Linked DNA regions of Oryctolagus cuniculus. The main gene of each other region encodes a partner of the protein of the gene in region 2 in a complex. Links are inferred from orthologs where the notes say so. Each region holds a gene or a part of one and is shown on either strand. Other genes may lie near its edges. The genes, in order: NUP62 and NUP58.

What was found.
Region 1: NUP58 (region 2) and NUP62 share a complex: the UniProt entries of both Homo sapiens proteins name them as parts of the p62 complex. The link is inferred for Oryctolagus cuniculus from reciprocal best matches to the Homo sapiens genes NUP58 and NUP62.

The regions. Positions count from the first base shown.
Region 1 is NC_091449.1:7,660,429-7,664,850, forward strand, and holds the start of NUP62 (nuclear pore glycoprotein p62), read left to right. Parts: upstream 1-1,607; 5' UTR 1,608-1,717; coding exon 1,718-1,743; intron 1,744-4,422. Other genes in the region: collagen, type I, alpha 1b-like, read right to left, coding at 1-474, 1,251-1,307. UniProt on the Homo sapiens protein: Essential component of the nuclear pore complex. The N-terminal is probably involved in nucleocytoplasmic transport.
Region 2 is NC_091440.1:95,338,517-95,342,320, reverse strand, and holds part of NUP58 (nucleoporin p58/p45), read right to left. Parts: intron 3,209-3,804; coding exon 3,071-3,208; intron 2,658-3,070; coding exon 2,547-2,657; intron 1-2,546. UniProt on the Homo sapiens protein: Component of the nuclear pore complex, a complex required for the trafficking across the nuclear membrane.

The DNA.
Region 1 (4,422 bases), on a different chromosome or scaffold from region 2:
GCCGGCCCCACTCGGATCTCTCCGTGCCCCCCAACTGCCGTCCCACCCCGAGAAGCCGCGTGGCCCGGAGTCACCGTCAGCCCGCGTTCCACTCAGGTCCCGGACCTGCCAGCGGGGCCCCGGGGCAAAAAAAAAAAAAAAAAAAAAAAAATGAACTCTCCGGGCTCCTTTCTCTAAACAGAATAAGTTCGCTGTATCCAGAACACAGGCGCCCGCGTCCTGGTTAGGGGACCCTGCTCGGCCTCGCCGCACGTGGTGGACGCGGGCATTCGGGCCTTGTTGCCCTCCCCGACCCCTGGCCTCTGCTCGCCCGGACTGCTTTTCAGACAGCACTCGGCCGCCCCCCACCCCTGCCTGAAACGGGGGGCGGCGCGCACTTCCGGCCGGTTCCCAGGAGGGCGTGAGGTTGGGGGCCGCCCTGCCCCAGCCCGGTGGGTCCGGGGCTGTTCTCTGCTGCAGAAGACGCCTGCCTTCCTACCCTGCGCCCCTCCACCTAGAGGTCAGCCCCGGTTCGTCCGGGATCCGGCCTGTCCACTCTGAGCACGTGGTCTCCGGCCGGTCTTCCCGGGCCGAGGTCTCCCGTGGTGGGGGGTGTGTTCCGGCTCCATGGCTGCCCTGGGAGACTTGGCCGGTCTCCCCCACTTGCACGCGCAGGTGTTGGTGGGGTGGCGGCCACGCCGCTGGCGTGGAGGGGGCACGTTCCCCCCCCCCTTATGCACGGGGAGGGGGCACGTAATCTCGCCCCCCGCCCCCTTATGCACGGGGAGGGGGTGTTTAATAAGCCGTGCTTGGGAGTGATGGAGGTTGACAGGGAGGTTGAGAGGTGTACAGCGAGTCTGTGTGGCCTCGCCCAGCGCCCCCGCGAACGTGGTCCTGTGGCACGTTAGTCGCCAGCCCGGGCCAGGAGCCTCGGCACGCCGCCCTCCCTTCACGCCTGTCCCCTCTTCCCCGTTGGGCCTCCACAGCCCCCCTGCTCTGTGGCGGTGGCCCCACACTTGGCCTTGACCGTTTTGAAGACCGTTCGGTACTTTATGGAAAATGCTTCAGCTTTTTAAAATTTATTTGAAAGGCACAGTTACAGGAGGGCTACTGCATCCGCTGGTTCATTCTCCCAACGGCCGCAGTGGCCAGGGCAGAGCCAGGCTGAGGCCAGGAGCCTGGAGCTCCGTGCAGGTCTCCCCCGCGGGTGCAGGGGCCCAGGCGCCCGGGCCGTCTTCTGCGGCCGTCCCGGTGCATCCGCAGGGAGCTGCAGCGGAAGTGGAGCCGCCGGGGCTCGGCTCGGCGCACGGATGAGACGCTGGCGTCATGGCGCAGCTTGGTACGCGGCCTTTGAGGGGGTGGCTGGGTGGGCTGTTTTGAATAACTGGAAGTGCAGATGCCCACCAGGAGAGCCCCGCGTCCCCCCGCCCCCAGCAGCTTGACTCAGTGGTGCTAAGTGGACGCCAGTTAGCGCCCTGCGCTGCTAGTGCGCGGGTGGGGCCTCCGCAGCTGCCTGCCACCCGGGTCGTGGTCTCTGGGGTTGGGGCGCTGGCCCCTTCACTCCTGGGCCGTGGCTGCTGGGACTCCTTTTTTGGTGCGGAGGCACCTGTCGGGGAGTGAGGCGGCCGATTGCAGGCAGGTTGCATCAGCTGTGGCTCTTTGCTGGGAGGAGCGAGAGGATTCTCTGGGGGCCCAGGAGCACCTGGCAACGGCTAGGCTCCCTCCCGCTTAGCCCTGCATGAGGGAGAGGCCCCACGCAGCCTGGTAAGGGGCTCGGAGGGGGAGGGGACCAGCCCCTGTGTGGGGCCCCAAGAATCCAAATGGAGCCTCGGGCGTGGGCCAGCTGCGGAGACCAGGCTGAGGCGCCAGGAAGTAGGAGAGGCGCGCAGAGCCCACCGTCAGGGCCCGGGGCCCTGAGCGGGCTCCAGGCCTGGACCTTCAGCTCACACCTCAGGTTTGCCGAGCTGTGTGGATCCAGCCTGCCCTCCCCTGTCACCTGCGCTGTTGCCGCAGCCCCCCGTGTTTCCCAGTCAAGGTAGCGCTTGGCGTGATGGAAAGGGCCCCAAGTTTTGCATCAGCCAGGACCCAGGTTCCAGTCCCGAGCCTCAGCACGGGTCCGAGCCAGGCGGCCCGCACACCTCCCACCTCCACCGCGTCTGGGGCCCGGCTCAGTGGCCCAGGAGAGCTGCCCTCCTGAGCAGGGCTGGGGGCCGGAAGTGGGGCGGGTGAAGCCCAGCGCCGACGGGGCGCAAGGTCTGTGCGTGTTCACTCATCCCGCTCCGTCCACACTTTGTTCTGTATTGGAGGGCAAGGTCAGGCACCTCCTCCCCAGAATTGTCCCTCACGGCCCCAGGCTGCGACCTTGGAAGTGGTCAGGACATTTTTGTAAAAGATTTCTTTTTTTTTTTTTTTTTTTTTTTTTAATTTGAAAGTCAGAGTTACACAGAGAGAGGGAGAGGTCTTGCCTCTGCTGGTTCACTCCCCAATTGGCCACAACAGCCAGAGCTGCGCCGATCCAAAGCCAGGAGCCAGGAGCTTCTTCCAGGTCTCCCATGCAGGTGCAGGGGCCCAAGGACTTGGGCCATCTTCCACTGCTTTCCCAGGCCACAGCAGAGAGCTGGATCGGAAGTGGAGCAGCCGGGTCTTGAACCAGTGCCCATATGGGATGCTGGAGCTTCAGGCCAGGGCGTTAACCCACTGTGCCACAGCGCCGGCCCCCAAAAGAGTTGTTTTTGCGCAGAAGTTGGAGATTCAATACAGCGGCTGCTGCGCAGGGTCAGGGAGGGTAGCAGTCACGCAGACCAAGGGTGCAGGGGCTGGGGGTGGGCGTCCTGGCAAACAAGGGCAGAAGGCCAAGGCCAGCTCCGCTGCAGAAAGGGCAGCGTGGGGGTGGGCAGGCGGTCAGGCTGCCACGTGGCCGGCGGCTCAGAGTCCCCGCAGGAGCGCTCACAGCCAGGCCAGGCCCCCGCTGCCGAGCTGGCTGGGCATCCTTGCTGTCACCCTCTCTCGGTTTCCTGTTCTACTGTCACAGGTTGCCACGCACTTGGCTCCCTTAGAGCTCTGGAAGGAGGGGACTGAGGTGGTGCACAGCGCTGCGCTCCTGGGGCTCGGGGCAGACGCTCGTCCCCAGCCTGCGAGCCCACCTGTGTCCTTCAGCGGGGGCCTCTTCCTCACCTCCTATCGTGCCGTCGCCTGGCTCCCCCATTGCTCCTCCTGCCTCTCCCTGGAAAGACCTGCGGGCCTGTACGCAGGGCCCGCCTGGGTAACCCAGCGCAGCACCTGTGACACGGAGACAGGAGGAGGGCGGAACTCCAGCTGTGGACTGGCGAGGCCGTTGTGCCGCCTACCCTCCTCCCCGAGCCCCAGGTCCGGGCCTGGGATAGAGGACAGGGCCAGTTCTGGGTTGCTCCGTCCCTTGGCTGCTGTCACTCGCCCTGGTGGCCTGTGCTGCTGTCCCCTCCAGGGAAATGGGGGTGCAAGCAGAACCAGCACCTGGCTCAGCAGGTGAGAGCTGTCCCCCCAGCCCCGTGGGCCTGTGTCGGGGACACAAGGAGTACCTGGGCCCCTGGAACGGCGCAGGTGATGTCTAGGGCTGGCCCATGGTCCAGGAGCGGCTGGTTCCACGGAAACGGAAACGCTGGATTTTTTTTTTTTTCCTGTGAGATCGCAGTCTCAAAGGACAGCGAGTAATTCAGAAGGAACGCGGGAAACCGCAGCCGGTTAATCAGCCAGGGGCTCTGAGCCGGAGGGGCTGGGCGCTCCTGTGGTTGGCACGTGTCCCTGGAAAGGCCTCACAGGACACTTGGGGCCCCCTGGTGGTCCCCCCCAGCAGGTGCATGGGCAGGGCCCTGGGTTCCCTGACTCCTGCCCACCCTGCCACAGCTGGAAGAGTTGGGTGGCAGACGAGAGCAGGGCCCCTCCTCACTCCAAGCCTCTTGGGCCCCAGGGTGGGAGTCCCCTTGGATGCCTCTGTGAGAGCTGAGCTGCCCCAGGAGGTCGTGCGACGACCTGGGGTGTCACAGAGGGTGGGTGGGGTGCTGTGTGGCACCGAGGAGAGGCTAGCTGGGAGCCGGGCTGTGGTCAGAGTCCTAGTGAGCTGTGTGACTTCGGGCAAGGTCCTCAAGTTCTCTAGGCCTCGCTGCGCTTATCTGTGAAGGGGGAGTGACCCCAGTTCCCACCAGTGCAGATAAAGCCCGGAAAAGAGGACCTGTGTCCCTGAGATATTACTGTAGCCATTAGACTGGGGCAGAATCCGTCACCCTGCCCCCCACGCTGGCTGCTTTCCCTGGTTCCCAGAGAAACCTCTCCATGGCAACCCCTCCCTCCCTCCCCCGCTGACATGGTGCCTCTCCCCTGGGGAAGCAGGTGTTGATGAGTGAGGCGGGGTCTTGCCCCGACACGGCCCCTGCCCCCTGCTTCAGCCCCTCTCCAGGTCTCAGTGTG
Region 2 (3,804 bases):
CAATGTCCTGACTTGCCATCAACCAAGAATATAGCATAATATGGCAATAACTGTCCACATAAACAGACAGGCTGTATAACTCATTTGCATCTACTACTTTTAAGGGCAAGAATCTTCCTTTCTCAACTATACTCCATGAAGAAACAGCCTTGACTCCCAGTTGAACTCCTGGTAGGTTTACCTGACAATTTTTTTTTTTTTTTTTTTTTGACAGGCAGAGTGGACAGTGAGAGAGAGAGAGACAGAGAGAGAAAGGTCTTCCTTTGCCGTTGGTTCACCCTCCAATGGCCGCCGCGGCCGGCGCACCGCGCTGATCCAATGGCAGGAGCCAGGTACTAATCCTGATCTCCCATGGGGTGCAGGGCCCAAGCACTTGGGCCATCCTCCACTGCACTCCCTGGCCACAGCAGAGAGCTGGCCTGGAAGAGGGGCAACCGGGACAGAATCCGGAGCCCCGACCGGGACTAGAACCTGGTGTGCCGGCGCCGCAAGGCGGAGGATTAGCCTAGTGAGCTGCGGCGCCGGCTTTACCTGATAATTTTTAAGGTCCTTTTAGAACAGAATACCATATCCAATGACCTGAACTGCTCCAACCTGACTATTTATTTAAACAATTGTCCCAATGAACCTTCTCATTTGTCTTGAGTAAGAGTATCTTTTGCATCACACCCTGAACAAAAATGTACATATTTAAGAAAAAAACAACTTTGCTGGTCATGTAGGTAAAACATGTCACTTCATCATAATCATAATTCATATTTTTATGGTGCTAGTGAAGTAAAACATTCTCTTCAAATGCTTATTAGGCAAATATACTTCTCCTTTTGTGAACTGCCTACTCACATGATTTGTAAGTTTTTATTACTGATTTCTATGAACTACTTTAACAGATTAATTCTCTCAGATATCAATTTCATATATTTGTAATTTCTAAAATAGACTAATAACATCTTGACTTCAGCAATGCTAACATGGATAAAAAAATAAAGCATTTTACTTTCAATCTTTTACATTTCACCTTTGGATATGAGATTTCATTTTTTACCTCTTTCAGCTGACTATAATTTATTTTTCTGTATTTTATTTCTGAAACTGGCACCCATCTTTTATAAGTAATGTTTTAGATTTGATAAGACAGTAATAAAAATAATTTTGTTTTTCAAAATAATTCATCATTTTCTAAATTAATGTATTGCTTAATATTGTTTATTATACTTTATAAATGTATGTGCTCACAAGTATGTATATATAAAACTTGGGCTTATTTCTGGATTAACAGAAATTAATCTAGTTTTGCCTCAGTAACAGACATGAACTACTACAAAACTTCCTAATAGTTCCCCACATCTATTCTTGCCTTTCTCTACATTTTTCTACATGACTGTCACAACATTCTTAATCTTAAAATATAAATCTCTTTAAAATCCTTGAGTAGGGATAGGCATCTGGTATATAGCAGTTATGATATCATTTAAGACTCCCAAATCCTCTATTGGTATGCCTGGGTTCTAGTCCCAGCTGCCCAATTCCAGCTTTCGACTAAGGCGGACCCTGGAAAACAACAGGTGATAAATCAAGTAGTTAGGTCCTTGTCACCCATGTGAGGGGCCTGTATCGAGTTTCTGGCTCCTGACTTCAGCCTGGCTCTTGTGGACATAAGGGGAATCAAGCAGCAAATGCGATATTCTAGCCTGCCTCTTTCTCTGCCTTTCAAATAAAACAATACAAAAACCCTTCAGTAGATTCCGAATGCCCTCAATATAATGACAAAACTGAACGTACCACACAAAGCTCTTCAGGACTTCTGGAATGTGACCTTTCTGGTCCCTGGACACACCTACAATTCTACCAGTCCATCTCACCTCTAATAGGCCTCTTGCTCCATGCTGGTCCCTCTTCACTGAATGCTGCTTCCTACCACTTTACCTGATTAAATCCCACTGATAACTGCCATCCAAAGCTAACTGATTAACACAGAGCTACTAGAGAAAAAGAGAAACTGGTTATATTATGGAAGAGAAGAGAGAAAAGGAAGAGAATTCCCTGACATGAGTAACAGATGAAGGAGAACTGGGACCATCCAACCCTATGTATTCTCTTTGTTCAACACCACCGAAGGCATGCTATGAGTACAGGGCGATGATGGCAGGGAAGAAAGAGAGGGAGCTTAATTTATTCATTTCTCTTACTTCTCTACAAAGTAAAAAAATAGGAACAAACACCTAAGTGAATTACTGACATGGACAAATGCTTCTAATGTATTATATGACAAAGAATAGATTACATAACAATATATATACTATGATCCTTTTTTAAAATATATATCAATATACATATTGATAGCTAAAAGACCACATGTACATTCAAATCTAAGTTATCTATAAACATAAAACCTTAAACAGTCAACACACACGCAATCTGTGACACATGAAGATAATGTAAAACTTAAAAGTAAAAACTGTACTACTGAAAAACAAATGTTCTTCAAAACAGGAATTTTTAGTAACCTGTAAGTTCCCAAACTGTTAGAACATAAAATTACTTACTCTTTTTATCTGATGAACTGCTAAAATCTATTCCACCAAGGCCTTCATTGCCTGCAGTTGAAGTAGCTGTTGAAGTTCCCAAAGTCAAGCCTAAAGCATTCTGTCCAAGTCCTACAAATGAAACAAACATCATTTCCAGCTTCATTGAAAGAGCTAAAACATCCTTAATGGAAAGCCATTCCTAGATCTGGGACTTAAAAGCAAGCTGCCTGACAAGGGAGTTAAGCTGTAAATGTACCAAGATTATTTAACTGCCACTTATTTTAATATATAAGACAAGATTCTCTGGAACAGTTTACAGGCTCCCTATTAAACAGGCTCTTTTCACTTCCTAATCAATCAGAGAATACTGAGAAAAGAGTAAAATGTATTTCTAAAATACAGCAAAGATGTTGAATTATATATAAAAAACATTTTATAACTCAGTAAAAAGAACAAGCAATCTGCACAAAAGGCCAAGAGAAGGATAAACTAAACTTAAATATAAAAATTTACCATTCTGAAGAATAAGTGCCATCAATTACCTGATGTAGCTGTGTTTGTGCCCTGGAAAAGCGAACCTCCCAAACCAGTTAAGCCGCCGCCTAGAGAAAGGCCTGTGGATGCAGTTGTAGTTGTGGCTGCTGTTCCACTCAAACTATTCAGAGTAAACCCTGTGGATGCTACAAAATTGAAACAATAAGCCTTCTACAGGCAACAGTATTTAAGAACACCATAGAAAAACCCAAGAAACAAAACAAAAAATTATTTCCGTAAGAATTGACTTTGGAAAAACTGCTTGCTAAAAATAAAATTATACATACTTATAAGAATAAAGAGAAATAGTAACTTCACAGCAAAAATCACTGGCAGAAATAAAGGCTTTGGATCGTTATTAGAATGGTACCAAATAGCTGATTCCAGAAAGCAGTAAAAAAAAATGTTTTAATCCAGGTCACCACCTTCATCTTCAAAATTAAATGAATCTTAAAGCAGGCAAGGCTTATGCAAAGTGTTTATCCTTCTGTCACCAAATGGCTCCTTGAAAACAAGACATCAGTAGCTTTACATTTTATCTCTCTGACCCTCTCCTGCCCTGCTATACTCTAACTACAGAGACCATTGGGTCTGCTGTTTTAATGCCTAGTGCTGACTTCTGACCCTTACAAATCAACAATTAAGTAGGTCAAAATTGCTGAATAGGAGTGGGTATATGGTACAGTAGTAAAGTTGCCATTTAGGATATCCGTATCCCACTTTGGAATACCTGGTTCAAATT